Linked DNA regions of Coturnix japonica. The protein of the gene in region 1 purifies or fractionates together with the protein of each later gene. This does not show direct contact. Links are inferred from orthologs where the notes say so. Each region holds a gene or a part of one and is shown in the gene's direction. Other genes may lie near its edges.

Evidence for each region. The genes of interacting proteins can lie anywhere in the genome.
Region 2: the proteins of ATP11A (region 1) and TMEM30A purify together in Homo sapiens (co-immunoprecipitation; 4 studies listed by BioGRID and IntAct, with this or other methods). This does not show direct contact. The link is inferred for Coturnix japonica from reciprocal best matches to the Homo sapiens genes ATP11A and TMEM30A.

The regions. Positions count from the first base shown.
Region 1 is NC_029516.1:124,204,208-124,208,924, reverse strand, and holds the start of ATP11A (probable phospholipid-transporting ATPase IH), read left to right. Parts: upstream 1-1,833; 5' UTR 1,834-2,460; coding exon 2,461-2,499; intron 2,500-4,717. UniProt on the Homo sapiens protein: Catalytic component of a P4-ATPase flippase complex which catalyzes the hydrolysis of ATP coupled to the transport of aminophospholipids, phosphatidylserines (PS) and phosphatidylethanolamines (PE), from the outer to the inner leaflet of the plasma membrane.
Region 2 is NC_029518.1:73,683,501-73,687,558, forward strand, and holds part of TMEM30A (cell cycle control protein 50A), read left to right. Parts: intron 1-3,023; coding exon 3,024-3,140; intron 3,141-3,787; coding exon 3,788-3,895; intron 3,896-4,058. UniProt on the Homo sapiens protein: Accessory component of a P4-ATPase flippase complex which catalyzes the hydrolysis of ATP coupled to the transport of aminophospholipids from the outer to the inner leaflet of various membranes and ensures the maintenance of asymmetric distribution of phospholipids.

The DNA.
Region 1 (4,717 bases):
TCCTTTGGAAAGAAGGAAGAGAAATGAAGAGCATCAGAACAGACTAATCTGCAGTCAGAAAAGCAAGACGTTTAGAAAGAACAACTGGGTTGTACAACATAGAGAAAGCATACAGCTAATTTTAGTGTTTTTTGTTGTTGTTTTAATATTAGGAGTGAAAAAATGTCATGACATATTTAAAGACAAATAGTTTAATAAATTGCTTGTAAGTTAAACATTGCATAACAAGCAAATCAGATCCATGATCAATATGATCAAGGCTCCTGCTTTGGCCTGACTGTAAAGTCACAATGTGACCTTCCACACGTTGCTCTGGGTTAGATCCAATAAAGGACTCAGGCACCTTAAGCCTGACTTAGGCAGATTTGAGGTGCATAAGTCCCACAGTATGACCTAAACACCCTGCTCTGTGACTTATTAACCCCAGAGGAACTTGTCACCCCAAAAAGGAACATGTACTGCTCAGCTCTTTATGCACACGCAGTTTGGTCAGCAAGAGCTTGCTGTGCTAACTTCCATTGGGCTACCACTGTTCTCTCTGGGCTGCATTTATAAGTTTCCTTTCTGTGTAAATGTGGTAAAAAAGACAACTAATGCAGGCTGGGACTTCAGTGTATGCTCAGGATCCATCTGTCCTCCTTTTCTTAAGAGCACAGTGTCACAGCTTCAACAGGAAGGTCACAATAATCTCTCAGCTTAGCTTGAGCAGTAGCCTGGAAATGGCAAAGCTATAACCACGCATGTGTGACCCTTTTTCCCGTCCTTGACTGAGGGGGAAAGCGAGAATGGGAGCATCGGTCCCACTTTCACCTTAGAGAACATGGAAAACATTTGTCTCTTGGAGAGACCTGCACCTACGAGTGAGTTTTAGGTTCTGGATCTGAGGCAAATGTTTCTCACAGCCCCATCACGGTTACCAAAGATGAAAAGACATGGAGTACAGATCCTTAACCTCGCTTTGCCATAATTGCTGCTTGATGCAAAATGGGGATAAAGCTAATAACTGAAATTCAAAGACAGGTGCTGCAAAAGGAATATAAATTATTAGCAGTAGCTGAGCTGAAAAGCTTTGGGTTTTAGATCAACACCACTTTGGAGTCTGAATAGCAACATTAGCTCGACCGCACTGCACTTACTGCACACATTATATACTTGGCTGTCTAAAAACTGCTGAACATAGATAACACATCCAAATTAAAGGTCACCTGGAAAGAACCAGTCATATGCCCTTCTTCTTAATGTTACACGATCCCAAATAGCGTAATCTCTGTGGGTTTTTTTCCTTTTTTCTTCATATGTAAGTTATAAGTTTGGGTTCTCTTTGGTCTGGAAGGGTTATGTAGTGTCTGGAAAGCAACTCAATGATCAGGAACCAAAGGAAGGACAACTAACCATGCTTTGGGCAGAGCCTGGTGACTCAGAGCAGCTGATGCGACTGACTGCTGCTGAGAGGAGCGGATTTTCAGTCTGACTGCACAGAGCCATTCGCTTGCTTTATTTAAAGTTGACTTTTTAGTCACATCTTCAGTTTTACGACAGTGTAGAGTTCCACTTCATTTTAAAGGAAGCATTTAGCATAAAGCCTGAGGTTTTGTTACGTTGAATCATGGAAAGCAATACTCAATTTGTTTGAAGCTACATACAAGTCTTCGGCAAAGCCAAGCGAGTCCCCAGGTATCCCTAAATCTACGATGGACACGAAAGCACTACAGTCGAGAGAAACTTCCGCACATCCCCTCACTTAAACCCCTTCAGCTCGGTTTGTCGGGGCTTTGGAAGCCGAGACGTCTTTCTAACGGCTCCCAGCCCCAGGACCGCCATCCCTCAGCCGCCGGTTCTGCCTGGAGCACGGCTGCAGCTCGCCCCGCCGCACCGGCAGCGGCTGTTTCCCTGTGGTGTAAGGCGGGGTAGGGGTCCCAACGGTCCGTTACCCCCCGGAAGGGAGCGGCCACCGCTCCCCACCACCCTCCTCCCGCTTCCCACAGTTGCGAGAGCTGAGGGGAGGAGGGAGGGGCGCCGCCCCGCGCATGCCCGCCCGCCCCGCGTGACGTGCGCGGCCGGGGCAGCCCGGCCGGGATCAAAGCGGCCGCGGGGCGAGCCGGGCCGGGTGGTGGCAGCGAGGGGAGCGGTGTAGGGCGAGCCCGCCGGATAAAGCCCTGGGCCGGCTCCACGGGGCGGGAGCGCGGCCAGCCCAGCGGGCTGTCGGCGGTGTTGTTTCTCTGCGTCTCCTCCTCGCCTTGAGAGTGAGGCAGCCGCGCTGTGGGGCATGAGGGGCCGCGGGGCACCGCGCCGTAGCGGCGGCGGTCAGCGCACGGCTTAGCCGGGACGGCGAGGAGCGGCGGGGGAACGGGCGCGGCTCCCTGCATGTGGCACGCGAGGAGAGCCGGGCAGCCCGGCGGCAGCAGAGAGCAGCCGGCCGCGCGGACTTGAGTGCCGGGCAGCGGCGAGCGGCCGCCCGTCATGGATTGCAGCCTGCTCCGGACTCTCGTGAGCCGATACGTGAGTACCAACACCCGGCCGCGGAGCTGCCGATCGGGGTGCTCCTTCCGAGCGCGGCATCGCGGGGGTCGGGGCGGCCCTCTGCCGTTAGTGCGAAAGGCTGCAGGCAGCCCGGCCCCCTGCGCGAACGGCTGTCGGGAGACGTCCCGAGTTTCGGTCGCAGTTGTGCTGCTTGTCCCGTTTGGTCCCGGTGTTTCAGTCCGGTTGTGTTTGGCGGAGCTGGCTGGGTTAAGCAGGCGGGCGAGTGCTCGGGTAATCCTGTCTGTCTGTAGACGCGCGCGGTAGGATTCGAGCGCTCCAAACTTGCTTCGGGGACAGAGAGTTGCCCTTATTTGCTGCTCCCTCCCACTCCCAGAGCTAAAGCAAAGCAGTGCTGCGTTAGAGTGGATCTAGGTGTAGAACGAGGTGCGTAAAGAGCAGATCATTGTGATCCAAGGGCTGGGAACGGCCAGCAGGCAGGAGGATGCGGGTTGCTGCTTTTGGGTGTAGGGAAACTTCGAAACAATTGGGAAGTGATGTTGCAAAGAGGCAGCGGGGATTTCCATGCACGCACAGCTCTTCCTCTCGTGCAGGAAATGCTCTAAGCCAAGAAGCTTTCACGCTCTGACCGTACCTGCGTTTGGTCAGAGCGCTGGGTGTGCTGAGCTTTGTTCACGTAATGCACGCTCAGCTTTTTCATTTGCATTTCTCATTTACGGTGAGGCATAATGCTGGATTTTGTTTATTGCTTGTATTATTCTGCGGGATTAGGAGAGAATAGGTGAGTACTGAACTCAGGGACCTGTATAGGGATCCTTAGAAAGTAACCCCGAGGGGAGGAGGAAGTACTGTAGGAATGATGAGGTGTGAGAGAAGTCAGCTGTGTGCATGTGCAGAGCTCAGGTGAGCTGTGCTGGGCTCTGTTTTGAAACAAGATCAGTCTGAGTACACTGACCTGGCACTGCTGATCTTCATACACAGAATCACACACAGAATGACCCGGGTTGGAAGGGACCTCAAGAATCATGTAGTTCCAACCCCCCTGCCTGGCAGGGCCAACAAACATACACATTTTACTAGATCAGGTTGCCCAGGGCCCCGTCCAACCTGGTCTTGAAACACCTCAAGGACGGGGCATCCACAACCTCCCTGGGCAGCCCTGTTCCAGGGCCTAACCACTCTGCTAGTGAAGAACTTCCCCTAACATCCAACCTAAATCTTCCCTCTTAACTTAAAACCATTTCTCCGTGTCCTCTGATTGTTCAACCCTTGCGAAGAAGTTTACTCCCCTCCTGGGTGTAGGTTCCCTTCAGGTATTGAAAGGCTGCAATGAGGTCACCCCACAACCTTCTCTTCTCCAGGCTGAAATGTGGGGTTTAGCTGAAGATTTGTGTTCTCATAGCTGATACCTGTTTAAGTACTCCAAAAAAATCATACCGCATTCATTGTGCATAGAGCAAACTGTGATCTCTAGGTATTCTGCAGAACTTGAGCTCTAACCTCTCTTTCAAACTGAGCATCAAATGTGATTGAAATGAGCTTAAGATTAGCTGTAATTTCTATCTTAAAAGACAAGGATGTATGTAGGAACTTGAACGTGGCACTTGGACTTCGAAGTTGCAGACCATCATCATGCACCTGTATTGCTGCTGAGGGTAATTCAGCAGTCTAAAAGCCTGATGAAACACATAGCCCTTGTGAGGAAAGATTTCCTAGATCACTCTGCTTTCTACATTATGTATATGCCGTCTAGGCTGTGCCTGGAGAACTGCCCGGCTATTCCAAGCTGCCTTGTATATTCTCACCTGTTGCTTGCTCTTTTTTGCACTACTTTTTCTTCAGTCGTCAAGTCAGTTTCTTCATTTTTATTTTATATAGAATGAAAATGAATAGTTTGAATGCTGTGCCTGAAACTGACTGCTGTATCTGAGGAACAGATGGATGTGTCAGCAGTGTTGCTCAACAGTTGTTCACCCGAGCCGTGTACAAAGCAGTTATGGTTCAGAAGTGTGGATGTGTTTACCTTTTTCCAGGCTACTTCTTAATGAGGGAGAGCAAGCAGTAGCATTTTTGCAGGAGACAAAGAGATCCAAGGCCATATGTACTAAAGTAAGCTCGTGCTTGGGATTACAGAATCACAGAATTGTAGGGGTTGGAAGGGACCTCTAGAGATCGAGTCCAACCCCCTGCCAAAGCAGGTTCCCTACACCACGTCACACAGGAAGGTGTCCAGGCGGGT
Region 2 (4,058 bases), on another chromosome or scaffold:
TCAGAAGTGTCTATTTTCTGCTTTATACTGTTGAAGAAGGCCAATGTGGGCCTATTTTTTCTGGTTTGTTTTTAGAATTCATAAGAACTGTTGACAGCACGTTAAGATGTGATATACATTGAGCAATGTCTGGGATACTGAGTGAACAGGAAGCACATCCCAGTGCTGTGATTGCTGCTGTGAATTGTTTAACAGTAATTAAGACCAGACCCAAAGGCACTGCTAGGAATGAGGAACTGAGATGAGGTGTGTGACTGTCGTGTGCGTCTTCAGTGCCGTGTGTGGTTCTAGTTGCCCAATCATCAAAATGATGGGAAACATAATGAAATCTGCAGAGATGGATATAGAGGGATTAAAAAAAAAAAAGAAAAGAAAAGAAAAACAGACTGATTGGATGCCTTTTATTACAGGAAGTGACCAAGGATAGTAATTGCAGGTCCAGAGCAGAGGAGCTGAGGGGAGGCCTGATGGCGGCTGCAGCTCCTCACAGGGAGCAGAGGGGCAGCACTGAGCTCTGCTCTGTGTGACAGCGACAGGGCCCGAAGGAACGGCATGGAGCTGTGAGGGGAGGGGCAGCTGGGGGTGAGGGACAGGGGCTGCACCACAGGGCGGCGGGCATGGAACAGGTTGCCCAAGGCAGTGGGCACAGCCCTGAGCTGTCACAGTTCGTGGGTGCTGTGTGGAGCTAGGAGTTGGACTTGGTGATTCTTATGGGTCTCTCCAGCTCAGGATAGTCTGATTCGTTAGTAGCATCCAGTTGTAACAGCTGTGAAGCCTACAAAGACCACAGGTGGTTTGGAGAATGTGTATGCACAATAGCTGTGTTATTTCTGCACAACAGAAACAAGTGAGCTGAGAAGGACATCAACAAACTGAACGGCCATTGGGCCAGGAGTTACCAGCTCCCTTTGAGTCTGTAGCCTCTTGTTGCTGTTGCTTTCTGAAGCCCTGGTGCTGGATTTCTGCCTTGGCTCCATGCATCAGTTCTTGTGTTCTTGAAGCAGTGGTTTCATTATTTGTCAAGTGATGAAGACATACCTGTATCACTTTCACTCAGTTGTCAATGGAACATAACAAGTAATGTGTTCTTCATGTAAGTGAAATTTTTATATCTTGCTGGTCCCTGTGCTGCAGCTGGACCAAGCCCTGAAGGAGTGCTGAGGCAGAGCTACTTAATAAAGAATCGTAGAATGGCCTGGGTTGAAAAAGACCACAATGACCATCTAGTTTCAACCCCCTGCTATGTGCAGGGTTGCCAACCATCAGACCAGGCTGCCCAGAGCCACATCCAGCCTGGCCTTGAATGCCTCCAGGAATGGGGCATCCACAGCCTCCTTGGGCAACCTGTTCCAGTGTGTCACCACCCTCTGTAAAACCTCCTCCTGATATCCAACCTAAACCTCCTCTGTCTTACTTTAAACTAATTCTCCCTTGTCCTATCACTGTCCACCCTCATAAACAGCCATTTGCCGTCCTGCTTATAAGCTTCTTTCAAATACTGAAAGTCAAATATTTACTTCAGCATAAATGCAGTATCTCATTTAGTGAGAGGCAAAGCTTTCCCTCACCTAACAGCTCTTGAATCCAACTTATTTCAGCTGGGCTTGTCAGAGGAAGGTTTCATCTGTCAGCAGTCTGGCAGCAGATCACAGATCTCTGAAATGCCTTTGCTGAAGAAAGAGCTGCAGCTCTTAACAGATATCAAAGAATCTATGGGAGGGAGACCTTGAAGAAGATCCAGAAGGAAATAGGCTTCAATTGTTCCTTGAACCTTGAAACCGCTTGTTTAATTTACCCTTAATGTGGATTTTTGGGCAGATTACTGAGAATCAGAATGATTTATAGTGTTTGACCACAGCTGTAAATCAGAAGATACCATTGCAGCAGTCTTTCATAAAGCTGAGCAGGATTTGTAGCTCAGAGCACTTTGTTTTGGTAACTTGTCGCGTGTTGCCCTGATCTGAGTTCTGTTACTAAGTAGGAAGCTCCTTTTAAGTGCAGAAATAATAGTTCATAAACAGATGGAATCTTTCTCCTACACACGGAGCTAACCTGCCGAACCCAAAGCAGTTATTTCCTTCCGCTTGTATCCTGCAGCTACGCAGGAGAGAGTCAATCAAGTGACTTCTGTTGGCAAGGGCTATAGGATGAGAGCCCCAGGTGCTCAGGATACATTGTGTAACATAAAGGTGGCCCAAATGTGCAGATTTCAGGTAAATTTTTTTGTTCTTGTTGCTGAACTATTAAAGACAGATCCTTGATAAGCTACGTTAATAGTGATCGTATTTTCTTTTTCATCTGGTATTTTACTGTTTTTGGCATTTGTGTCTTCACCTTCCCTGTTTTAGGAGAGCTCTTGAGTGCCCAGGGAGGCTGTGGATGCCCCGTCCTTGGAGGTGTTCAAGGCCAGGTTGGACGGGGCCCTGGGCAACCTGATCTAGTAAATGTGTATGTTTGGTGGCCCTGCCAGGCAGGGGGGTTGGAACTACATGATCCTTGAGGTCCCTTCCAACCCGGCTCATTCTGTGATTCTGTGATTCATTAAGCGGTCTTTGAAAAATCTGATGGAGTGCCTAAATATAGGCAGTAAATAAAAGTTTTCTTAAGCAAAACTTTTTTCTTATTTAATATCTTTGTAGGCTTTTAAAAATGAGACTTCTCTGGAAAGCATGTAGCAGGTTAGATCTGCTTGTTATATACTGAGCGTGTTTGGTGGTGCCATGAGTATCTGCTCAGTGTGTTTTGGTGGGTTGTTTTGTTTGTTTCTTTCTCTTCTTTCCCAGCATTAATGGCCCACACTGGTGCCAGATTTGTCTGAGGCTGGAACAGAATATGCAGTCAGAATCACAAAATAGTTTGGGTTAGAAGGGATCATGAGATCATCAAACAGAGCTTTTGGAACTGAGATGTAGTAATACTGCAAAATAAATGCCACACCGATTTCTCTTGCTTATTAATCAATTTTATTTGCTTTCTCACTCTAAACTAATGTGGATTTTTTTTTTTTTTTTTTTCTGTTATAGATTGATTATACAGGAATAGAGCCTTCCAGTCCTTGCAACAAGTGTTTAAATGTGTCCTGGGATAGCACACCGCCTTGTACCTGCACAATCAATTTCACACTGGAACATTCATTTGAGGTACATAACCTTGCATGCAAAGTGAAATGAGATCTGCTGATGTGGTTTATTTTGTAAGTGATAGGAAAATTGCATTCTCACAGCCTTACTTTGTGTCTGCCTTGAAGGATTATTTCTAGTATTCCTATGAACTTGGATTTGATGGCTGTGTGTCTTTTCATTAGCAGAGATGAGATGGTTTTTAGTGCCTCTCTATCTGGAATTGCAGTGTTAAGTGGGACACGTGTCTTTTACACATCTGGATTTACTGTCTGTGTCCTAGGTGGGCGTCATATACTTGACATGTAGATAAGCTATTCCTGCACAACTTAAACTGAGTTCAGCAGGAAGCAGCAGCACTAGATGCATTCTTTGAGGCAAATAATGAGGCTTATGTGCTTGGTGTTGGACAAGGTAAGTATTGGGATAGTACTGATGAATATCCTGCTGCTGGTTTATGGCATGTTGATATTGTTTGACTTCAGGATGCCAGCTTTTGTTGGGATAGTATTGTGTGTATTCAGTACAAAGAGAGTCTTTGAGCATCACTACTGTGAGTGTTACTATAAAGTAAATACAATTTAAGAGGTTGGATTTCCAGGTTTCAGTTAACCAGCATGTTTGTGTGTTTTATTGACCTGTTGTGTAAATCAAAACCCTTCTTGTAGAGTAACGTCTTCATGTATTACGGACTTTCTAACTTCTATCAAAACCACCGTCGCTATGTGAAATCTCGAGATGACAGCCAACTCAACGGAGACAACAGCTCATTACTTGTAGGTATTCGAGCTTTGATATTTACAGATACTAGTAGGCAATGAACAGCTGACTTGCATAAGTTATCACAGGGCAGAATAACTAGTTTAATAATAACGTAGCTGTAGAATTTTTGTATTCAACAAACAATAAGGTATTCATATTTTTTATTAAAAATAATAA